2 linked regions of the Schizosaccharomyces pombe genome follow. The protein of the gene in region 1 binds, or shares a complex with, the protein of each later gene. Each region holds a gene or a part of one and is shown on either strand. Other genes may lie near its edges. The genes, in order: cyt1 and cob. A codon is read from its position in the direction of its gene.

Region 1 (4,319 bases):
GCACTTCATTGATTATATTAGTAATTCAATTTTTAATATGGTATAAAAGATCATTTTGATTTAAGTAAGTTAAATTCTACTCTTGTATATTTTTCCAAGCGTAACCACAAATTTGACATGTAAATATGACTTAAAATGATAAAGAAAACTTTAGGATGAATCAAGCGTTCTAACATACGTGTGCAAAGAGCATTTAACATTTAGAAGCAAGTTGTTTTACAAACGTTTTCTGCATTTTTTTTACTGCTCGGCTTGTTCAAATATAAACCAATCTTGAATTAAATTAGTATTTTTTTCAAAATGTTATTAAAAAACAACAGCTCGAGTTAATAAGTGAGTTTTACTGTCACTTCTAAATTTTTAAAGCACTTGACATCGATGTCATTATCGAAGTTGTTTTCTTGACACCAAACTTAAGAAATACAAAACCTGTAGAAAAAATTTAGAGATTGGCACAAAGAATAGCCAGTTACTCTTATTTGATACTAGTATAATGACAACTACTACTTTGAATTTCCAAACTACACAAAAGCAAATATTGTTTACAGGAATGCTAAAATTATAGCAATCAAAACTAAATTCAATCATGAATGTATGTTATTTAACATCCTTAGAGGTATAAATCAGAAAAAAAAATAGCAACGTCAGCTTAGATCTTTTCAATCTTGAAGCGTAAAGTTTTCACCCTCTACTTCAATTCGTTTTTTTTGTTATTGAAAACGACTTGCAACTCTTGTTTGACATACGAAATTTCGAATAGAGGAAATTAAATACTGAGGAAATAAAAAGTGGAGAGGAGAATAAATTCAGAAAATGACAGGTAGGAAAACAAATAGAAAGGGGGACCAGAAAAGAGAGAAAATGAAGAAGAAAGGGAACGCATTTGCATGATTGTAAATTCCGGTAAACGTTCGGTGTTGGATAAACTGCCAAGTTTAAGTCCAAAAAAATTTTCTTCCGCAATCGTCTTACCATGAAGACAATAAACATCATGTTTCTTACTTGATGGGTCTCTGGTAGAAAATCTTTCTGTTTTTAATAGGGGTCCACTTGAATCGCTTGTACCACATACTCAGAGCGGTCAGAATAGTAAGGACAGTGATAACTTGGAATCCCATCTTCTTACGAATATCCAATTCGGGTTCGGAGGCCCAATGAAGGAAGTTTACAACGTCCTTGGCAGCTTGGGCCGTAGTGGCTGGAGTACCGTCTTCAAACTCAACGGCATCATCGAAAAGTGGGCGGGCCATAGCTATTTGAGTACCAGGAAAGAAGGGGTTGAAGTTCATACCGTCCGGAACTTCGACACCAGCAGGCGGTTCGGTATAACCGGTTAAAAGAGAGTAGATATAGTCTTGACCACCATGTCTACCACGAACGACGCAGGAAAGGTCGGGAGGTGCTGCACCGTTATTGGAGGCACGTGCAGCTTCAACATTAGGATATGGAGGTGGTAAAAAGTCGGAAAGTTTACCGGGGCGCTTAAACATGTTTCCTTCATCGTCAGGACCATCTTCATATTCAACTTCACTAGCCATTTGTTTTGCTTCATCAGCAGTATGAGTAACACCTACTAAGTGACGCCAAGCAATTAAATTGAGAGAATGGCAGGCAGAACAAACCTCACGATAAACCTGAAAACCACGACGTAAACTAGCATGATCAAAACCAGACAACACTTTGCTTTGGGGCCAATCGTGTTGGATAAAATGGAGACCTTCTTCCTTTGGAGTGCCAGCGGACAAACTTGGACCATACACGTTATAATACAAGGCTATCATGCCTACGGAAAGTAATGAGCTACTAACCAAAGCAATATTTGAACCCTTGCTATGTGTTTTTTGTGCGTTTTGGGTAAATGCCTAAACCCCGTTAATGATCGTTCTTTTGTCAAAAGCTATGCTTGCTTCCGTTTCCACGAATAGCAGCCATCACATTTCACTTACTCGAGAGCCAAGTCTCGCAAATTTTAAAAACTCATTTTTTTTCTTTACAAATTGAAACATCTTCACGTTTCGCTCTGTTTTGACTCAAATACTAGAATTTGCTTAAATTCCCTGTTCTTTATTGGGTGAGTGGAGATGGGTGTGGTTGGAAGGTGGTAGTGCGTCCGCTCCCGGGGTATGCGTAGCGTTTCCCGACGATAATTGGCATACAGGAATCCTATTCAAGTTTACAATAAAATGCATTATTTCCAACATTCATATAAAAATATCCTATGTCAAGCACTGAAATGTTGCAACCTATGTGTAACTTGTACCAACTGATATTTCAAGTAGATCATCGAAGAAATGGTTTATGGTTGAATTAAAAGAAGTGACACGATATATGAGTACTAAATGCAATAATTAATTACAGAATGTAATCCATACTCTGTACCGGCAATGCTGTAAGTATAAAAATTTTAGATTCCACCATACTATGTATCGATCGGAATCCGCCAATTAGGTACTTTGCAATTGGCAAAGACGAGCAGGTGAATAAAGGTATCTCTAGCAATTTACTTTATTAGTATTTGTTTAAAAAAGTGACTCCCGAAAAAGTCGAGAAAGAAGATTGAGTTTAGAAGCAAGAATAGGTTTGAAGCAGAGATTTAGACATAAGAGTTTGAAATGTCAATTTGAATACTGAAAGATAATTTATAATAGTTTGCAATTTTTTGTTATTTCCTTAAAGAAGGTGTAAAAGTTAGTCAGCTCCTTGTTGTTTTGTAATTATAAAATGTGAATTCCTTATTTTTAATCCATAATAAATAGATAAACTAATAATAAAAGGCAAAGAGACAATGAAGCTTTTGAAGAAAAATATTAGTTAATTGGGCATATCAAAAACAGAATACAATGCCTCTCATGATCATGTTTTGAAAAGATATCGATGAAAGTAAAATATTAACACGAAAGGTATCCGGTCGTAGTAAAAATACAATGCATGCTGTATTTTTCAAAAGAAACTGACAAATGCGACGAAAATTAAAGAGAAAAGAATGTTAAAATTAAAGAAGGAGATGCGACAAAAACGAAAGCGTCTGAAAATGGAAATGTTTCTGCGTGACAAAATTAGATTGCCATCCAAAAATGAAATGAAAAAGGATACGTAAAAGATAAAGCAAATTAATAAAAACCAAATTCTAAAGTAAGCACGTATCTCCTAGATAAAAGAAAGATTTTGTAAAAATTGATCCAATAAATAAATACCTTTAACCGTGATAAAAAGAGACACATTAGTCAAAAAAAAATGAAAGAGAAATAACTTAAGTTCAAAAAGTCGATTAGTAACGGAAGTCATTGGAATATCCGTAATATCGTGTATTCATTTTGATTTTGGGGAGGACTCCATACTAGACCGCAAACTGGTGAAATCCATTATGGATTCAATCGATGGAATATCCTGGTGGTCAGTTAAGTTGAATTTTGCAACGACAGGTTCAAGGACTTTCTGAATGGTATCGTAAAAGGTAGCTTGAATTTGAGCAAATGCTAATATACATTCGTCGGTAACATTACGCGCCATCTCCAAAAAAAGAGGAAGTTCTTCTAAAAGGCAATTACTAAGTAAAGGGAAGCTTTCAAGGTCCTCTTCAAAAACCTGAGATTGGCGTCGCTTGGAAAATGCTGTAGCTTTTTTGATCCATACATCGGTAACACAAAGGGGGTTTCGGAAGAAAAGAATACCATTGGAAATAGGTCTCAAAACGGATGTTTGACATTGCTCTGTCAAACGAAGCACTGCACCCTTGGCAATGTTGTCTAATGCTACACTAATGAGAGCCCATTTGTCTGCAGATTTAGTGTCTTTACAAAACACAGAATAGGCTTCGACGAAGGTAAAGAATTTTAGGTAATGATATCTGGAGAATTTTAACCAATCACAGATAGCACTTCGTAAATTTAAAAGATTGGTATAGGATGAAGACAGTTGATGGACAAACGCTAGAATGGGCTCATGTTCAGGTACGTAGAAAATGTTTGTAGAATTTTGAAGCTAAAAAACAATTAGTCGAAAAATTTAAAGATAGAAAATCATTGAACCCGACGTACCTTTGCAATTTTCTTGTCAATTGAATCTGTGGAGAGAAGTAAGACCTCTTGGGAATTCGAGACGCTATCCAGGGCTGTAATTATAATATCTCGTCTCCTTTTTAACTCATTCATTCTTTGGCTAGCGATCTCAGATTTGTGACAAGCTTCCCCGAGCAACACATAGTCGGAAATGATACCCAGTGAAGCAGATCGGTAAAGCTGATTTAGTAAAAGCGGATACTTCAGAAAACGCTGCACAGGCTTTACTAAAAAACTATCTAAATTCCAAGAGTTACTTTC
Region 2 (6,035 bases), on another chromosome or scaffold:
CTCGAACCAACACGCTCGAAAGCGACAAATCTTAAGTTTGTTCTGTCTACCAAATTCCAGCATTTAGGCTTATTTAATGCAGATAGTCCGATTCGAACGAACATAATCTAAGTGGAAATCAGAAGGTCTGCCAATTGACTTATATCTGCTTAAACGAATCTGACCCAGTACGAGTGGGCATCCATCACCGTGACAAGGCGATACTTTACTTTAAGCTACAGATTCTTTTATTTGCTCTGAAATGGAATCGAACCAATATCTCAGCAGCTTCAATACTGCACTTTAACCGTTAAGTTATCAGAGCATAAAGTGCGACCTAAGGACTTGAACCTTAATACACTGATCATGAGTCAGAGATGTTAACCAATTACATTAAATCGCAAACTTATTCACATTTAATTAGATAAAAATTGACCGTAAAAATTCTGATAAAAATAAATCCCTAAAAGATCAACTTCTTCTAATCACTACTAACACCCAAAGAATGTTTTATTACCTAATCTATGTAAAAAACTTTTATTCATACCTTTTGATGAGCTTTTTATTAAATATTATACTGTTTAAATAAGATATTTTTATATAGTGTAAAGGGGGAAGAGATTATCGTTTAATTGAGCTTAAATTTAAATCAATTAATGTATTACCTAATATAGTATATACTGGTATTAAAATAAAGAAGTAGCTAAAATAGAAGATTGTAGCAATAGCACCAATTGTGATAAAGACGTTTTCTGGATGTGATCCACCAATCCATGCAAGAATTACAAAATCGGCAACAAATGTCCAGAAGAAGAATTTACCAAATGGGTTAAAACTATTACCTCTAATAGCTGAGAAATCTAATAATGGTAATAATAGTAATACTAAGATTGATAATAACATTGCTATAACTCCTAATTGGAAGTTAGGTATAGCTCTTAAAATAGCATAGAAAGGTAATAAATACCATTCTGGAACAATAGACATTGGAGTTTTTAGAGGATCCGCTGGTAAAGCACAATCTGGTTCCATAAATCCATATGGATTATAGAATGCCATATAATTTATACCGATTAAGAAGATAAATATTGTTATCAAATCATTGAACTAAGACGCATTCCCTTTGCAGGGTTGACACGGCTCGTCACCGAACCGTACGGGATACTTTCGTAATTATACGGCTCTCCACTACATTTAAGATATCTAAACTTTTTTATCCTCATTAAGAGTTAACTTATTAGCATGAAGTTTCATGTGACAAGATCTACATAATGGAATTTGTTTTCTATTTGCTTTTGCCATTAAGTAATCTAAAGTACCTTTGATTGGTTTAAGATTTTTCATCTGTCTAACATGATGCATTTCCACTTTATAAGTACTTTGACAAGCAGCACACTGTAGATTTTCTAAGTTAGCCATTGATAAGTGAGAAGCATAAAGTGTTCTAATGTTCAATTTAACTTTGTCAGATTTAAATCCCCAAACATTAACTTTCCAAGAAGGTTTAAATAATTGGGTAATTAATTTTGGTTTATTATTTTCATCTCTAGAGTTGTAATCATAGATAGAAAGGTCAGGACCAAATTTTTTAATTACTTTCATTCTAGTACCTAATGATAATTTATGAGCTAATGTTCGAAGAACACAGTCTTTAATTATGAAGTAAACGTAAGTAGCAAATCTTCCTCTATTATGAACAAAAGAATAATAATTATCGTAACCTCTAATAATAGAATTCGCTAAACCAATAATTTGTCGTACATCAAGAGGTAACCATCTAATAACAGATCTACCTTTATGATTAAGCATAAGTCCAGTTTCTCTAAGTTTTTTTGCAATTCGATCCATAGGAGCAGAAAGTAAAATAAACCCAGAATTTCTTTGAAGTATACCAAAATGTCTACTAAAGGTAACATTTTTAGAATGGCTAATATTAGTACCAAGGAAAAGTATTTTATCCGTATATGAATTAGTTATTTTAGTCTTAGTTGGAGATACTGTTAGTCCAATTGATGAACAGAAACAGGTAATTTTAGCTAAAATCTCTTTAGTTTGAGTATAACTTCCATTAACTGCAACTATCCAATCATCAGCGTATCGAACATACATTAGTTTATTAGATTGAATACCATGTATCTTATTAGGAACATTACGCATTTCAATCGCTATTTTTCTAATTGTTTTTGAATCAGCATTTTCTCTTTTGGCTTTTGCCATTAGATAATGAAGATGTCTAGATTCAGAAGTTCTTTTACGAGCTATTGGACCTTTGTAATCAAATTCTGATTTTAGGTTTTCAATAAATTCATCCAATTGATGAAGGTAGATATTTGCTAAGATAGGACTAACTATAGAACCTTGAGGAGTTCCAACAATATCGTATTTATATCTATTTTCAGTTAGATATCCAGCATTTAAAGCTTTACGAATTAATTGAATAAATCGTTGATCTTTAATTTTAGAAGATAATAGAGCAATTAATTTATCATGAGGGATAGAATCAAAACAAGCTTTAATATCTCCTTCAATCCACCAAGTACAACCTTTAAAATTAGTGAAAATAGATCTAAGAGCAGAATGACAACTTCGACCTGGTCTAAATCCATGAGAAGCAGTATTAAATAATGGTTCATAGATAGCCTCAAGGACTATTCTAAGAATTTCTTGAACTAATTTGTCTCGAGGACTACCAATTGTTAATGGTCTTTTTCCACCACTGGCTTTATCAATTAAGATACGTCTACCAGGAGTGAAGTTAAATTCTTCAGATTTAAGGCTTTGGATAATTTTATCAATAACATCTATAGACATTCCATCTAAAGTATCCGGTTTAAGACCAGGAGTCATCATACCAGGATTAGATTTTAATTTATTATAAGCAATAAGGAACATATCTCGATTTAATAGGAAATCTTTGTAGAGATTTCTATCAATTACAAGATTAGGATAATTTTTTGATCGTTTAGATAAATCGTCTAGTTTATTTAGTACATTTTTTGATCGTCCTGATCCTGTACTAAATCCTCTTACATTAGATACCCCTAAAAAAGTATTAATGTATCCTAAACCAATATTAAATATTGATCTATTGGAAGACTTTAATGTAGCTGATCCACTTCACTGTGTTGAAATCTTTGCAGAGTTCAAACTTCTTCCCTCTTTCAAAGGACCGTATTGATCAAAATGATCAACAGCTACTCCAGGATCTCTGACCGCATAGTCATTACTGACCTTAGCGGGACCCGTAGTTGTATATATGTTTGAGTTGATAGACGTAGGTTTTCCACTCATTCCCTTAATTGTACTATTGGTACAACTCTCTTCTCCTGGTGTGTATCCTTGGTCATAAAAGCCAACCAAAGATCTAGAGAAGAATGTCTCTATTCAGCTAAGACAATCACCTATCTGAGGGTGAGATGGGAATTGGAATTCGGGCAATACAGCTCTAACCGTATCTATTTGAACTGATCCATCTGAACTTATCTGTTTCGTTACAGGAAGGACCTTCTGTACACATGCTCTGTTCGGCATTGGGTTTCCCCAGCTACCTAAGTGTATTGTTCATATCTTTACACACAAGATATCCCTTTCTCTATGAGGGTACACATATATACCACAACGGCGCAATTTTATCAGATAATACGGGTTCATTGGGATTCTGTCCATATTAGCTGTTACACCTAATGGATTTGATGAACCATTAGTATGTAGAGCAATTAAATGCATTACTGATAAAGCAGCAATAACAAAAGGCATTAAATAGTGAAGTGAGAAGAATCTATTTAAAGTAGGATTAGATACACTAAATCCACCCCATAATAGATGAACTAAATCATCACCAATGAAAGGAACAGCTGATAATAAATTAGTAATAACAGTTGCACCCCAGAATGACATTTGATTAGCTGGTAAACAGTAACCTAAAAAGGCAGTAATAATAGTTAATAAGAAGATAATAACACCAATATTCCATGTCATTGTTCTTGGATATTTATAAGAACCATAATATAAACCTCTACCTATGTGTAAGTATAAGAAGATAAAGAAGAAACTAGCACCATTTGCATGGAAAGCTCTTAATAAGAAACCATAATTTACATCTCTAACAATTCTTTCAACTGAAAGGAAAGCTAAATCCATATTAGGAATATAAAAACAAGCTAAAAGTATACCAGTTACAATTTGAATAACTAATACACAAGCTAAAAGAGAACCAAAATTCCAGAAGTATGAAATATTTGAAGGTTCAGGAGCATCAATCATATAATTATTAGCCAAAGCTAAAAAAGGATTAGATTTTAAAATTTTCATAAAAATTAAATTTGAAATTATCCCTTCTAAATTGAACAATCATTATCGATAAATAGTCAAAAATTTGAAGGAATTGGGAAAAAAGATCCAAATCTTATTAAAAGGATATTGGATAATAAAAGATAAGATAGGTTAGATACTATCTGAGATCCTCTTATACCAAAAATATGGGAAAGGGATTGCTAATTAGAGGAATTGAACCTCTAACTTCGTACTTACAAGGTACGCACTCTACCAATTGAGTTAAATTAGCTAAAAAAAAAATACACACCTTCTAGGTGTGGAATCTGTACTAAGAATCGAACTTAGATCGACTCATTAGAAGTGAGATGCTCTACCATTGAGCTATACAGACTATTTTAGAGAAATAAGATATAAAAAGGGGGGAAAAATTGAAGTAAGCCTTAGCTACCCCAAATATAAATAGTTAAATAAAGGAATAACCAAACAACATCACAGAAATGCCAATAATAAATACCACATTCAAATCCATTATGATGAGTATTAGTTAAGTGGTAAGTATAAATATTATAAGTAGCAACAAGAAGTAGAATTGTACCAACAATAATATGAATACCATGAAGACCAGTAGCAAAATAGAAACTAGCACCATAAACAGAATCTGAAATAGTGAATGGAGCATTCCAGTATTCATAAGCTTGACCTCCTAAGAATAAGAATGATAAAGCGATAGTCATATATAAACCTTTTAAAGCATTTTCTCTATTTCTAGCAATTAATGAATAATGAGCATAAGTTAAACTAGCACCAGAAGTTAATAAAATTACTGTATTTAATAGAGGGACTTCTAATGGATCTATTGTTTTATCTGCTATTCCTACTGGTGGCCATACTGCACCTAATTCAAAAGTAGGTGATAATGAACTATGGAAGAAAGCCCAGAAAATAGAAGCAAATAAGAAAGTTTCAGAAATTAGGAATAACATAAATCCTATTTTTAATCCTTTTGTTACTGCTTTTGTATGTGCACCATGAATATTAGCTTCAGTTGACATATCTCTAAACCATAAATACATAGTTGCTAATAAACCTAAGAAACTGATTCCAAAGAATACTGATGAATGTTTGTATCCATGTAAATATAATGTAGCTGCTAAACAGTTAAAGAATAATACTACAGATAAGAAAAATGGCCAAGGTGACGCACTTACAATATGATAAGGATGTCCTTGAAATTTAGTAGAAAGATTCATGTTTAAGCTAAATTAGTTTATCTCAATAGTGTTCTCTCACATATAAGGAATAAAAAAATTATAAAGATACAATTTTGAATAGGATAGCTAAATTATCCTTCAATCTCCCTCTCCAATTTTTAAATTGGAATAAAGTTTATAAAATAAAAGGGGGGTTAAGATTTTAAATTAAATACTTTTTGTAGGTAATGTATTAAATGCGTGTTCGTGTACTGGTGAATGTAGTAACCATTCTATTGATTGAGCTACCCCTAATTTTTCATTTACGAAGATTACATTATCATCAAAATAGCTAGGGATTAAATAAGGATTTGTTTTAACCACTCTATTTGATGTAAATTGATCATACATAACATACATAAATAGGAATAATGAAAGAATAGAAATTACTGAACCAATACTTGATACAAAATTCCATCCCACAAATGCATCTGGATAATCTGGTATTCTTCTAGGCATACCATTTAATCCTAAGAAATGTTGAGGACCGAATACAATATTAACACCTATGAATAAAATCCAGAATTGGAT

What was found.
Region 2: the proteins of cyt1 (region 1) and cob are in contact, whole or in part, in a cryo-EM structure (PDB 8Q1B), measured with the Schizosaccharomyces pombe proteins. Residues at the interface, in NP_595846.1 of Schizosaccharomyces pombe: Gly63 (codon at 1,736), Glu67 (codon at 1,724), Val82 (codon at 1,679), Leu110 (codon at 1,595), Ile111 (codon at 1,592), Arg114 (codon at 1,583), His115 (codon at 1,580), Cys180 (codon at 1,385), Arg183 (codon at 1,376), Gly184 (codon at 1,373), Arg185 (codon at 1,370), His186 (codon at 1,367), Ala258 (codon at 1,151), Glu260 (codon at 1,145), Pro261 (codon at 1,142), Glu262 (codon at 1,139), Arg266 (codon at 1,127), Lys267 (codon at 1,124), Met269 (codon at 1,118), Gly270 (codon at 1,115), Phe271 (codon at 1,112), Val273 (codon at 1,106), Ile274 (codon at 1,103), Leu277 (codon at 1,094), Thr278 (codon at 1,091), Leu280 (codon at 1,085), Thr281 (codon at 1,082), Ser284 (codon at 1,073), Met285 (codon at 1,070), Tyr287 (codon at 1,064); in YP_011104932.1 of Schizosaccharomyces pombe: Ser24 (codon at 4,221), Tyr28 (codon at 4,209), Phe62 (codon at 4,107), Glu66 (codon at 4,095), Arg70 (codon at 4,083), Asp71 (codon at 4,080), Phe76 (codon at 4,065), Leu77 (codon at 4,062), Asp217 (codon at 3,642), Ile219 (codon at 3,636), Pro223 (codon at 3,624), Tyr224 (codon at 3,621), Tyr225 (codon at 3,618), Ile227 (codon at 3,612), Lys228 (codon at 3,609), Leu230 (codon at 1,077), Ile231 (codon at 1,074), Phe234 (codon at 1,065), Ile235 (codon at 1,062), Leu237 (codon at 1,056), Ile238 (codon at 1,053), Asn241 (codon at 1,044), Tyr242 (codon at 1,041), Ala244 (codon at 1,035), Phe245 (codon at 1,032), Tyr246 (codon at 1,029), Pro248 (codon at 1,023), Tyr249 (codon at 1,020), Pro254 (codon at 1,005), Ala257 (codon at 996).

Annotation. Positions count from the first base shown.
Region 1 is NC_003423.3:2,071,010-2,075,328, reverse strand, and holds cyt1 (cytochrome c1 Cyt1), read right to left. Parts: upstream 2,094-4,319; 5' UTR 2,007-2,093; coding exon 1,947-2,006; exon of another isoform or gene 1,863-1,946; coding exon 999-1,862; 3' UTR 587-998; downstream 1-586. Other genes in the region: gef3 (RhoGEF for Cdc42/Rho3/Rho4 (Gef3)), read right to left, coding at 3,310-3,981, 4,038-4,319. UniProt on the Schizosaccharomyces pombe protein: Component of the ubiquinol-cytochrome c oxidoreductase, a multisubunit transmembrane complex that is part of the mitochondrial electron transport chain which drives oxidative phosphorylation.
Region 2 is NC_088682.1:8,430-14,464, reverse strand, and holds cob (apocytochrome b), read right to left. Parts: upstream 4,291-6,035; coding exon 3,607-4,290; coding exon of another isoform or gene 1,183-3,606; intron 1,081-1,182; coding exon 601-1,080; downstream 1-600. Other genes in the region: cox3 (cytochrome oxidase subunit 3), read right to left, coding at 4,695-5,504; cox1 (cytochrome oxidase subunit 1), read right to left, coding at 5,673-6,035.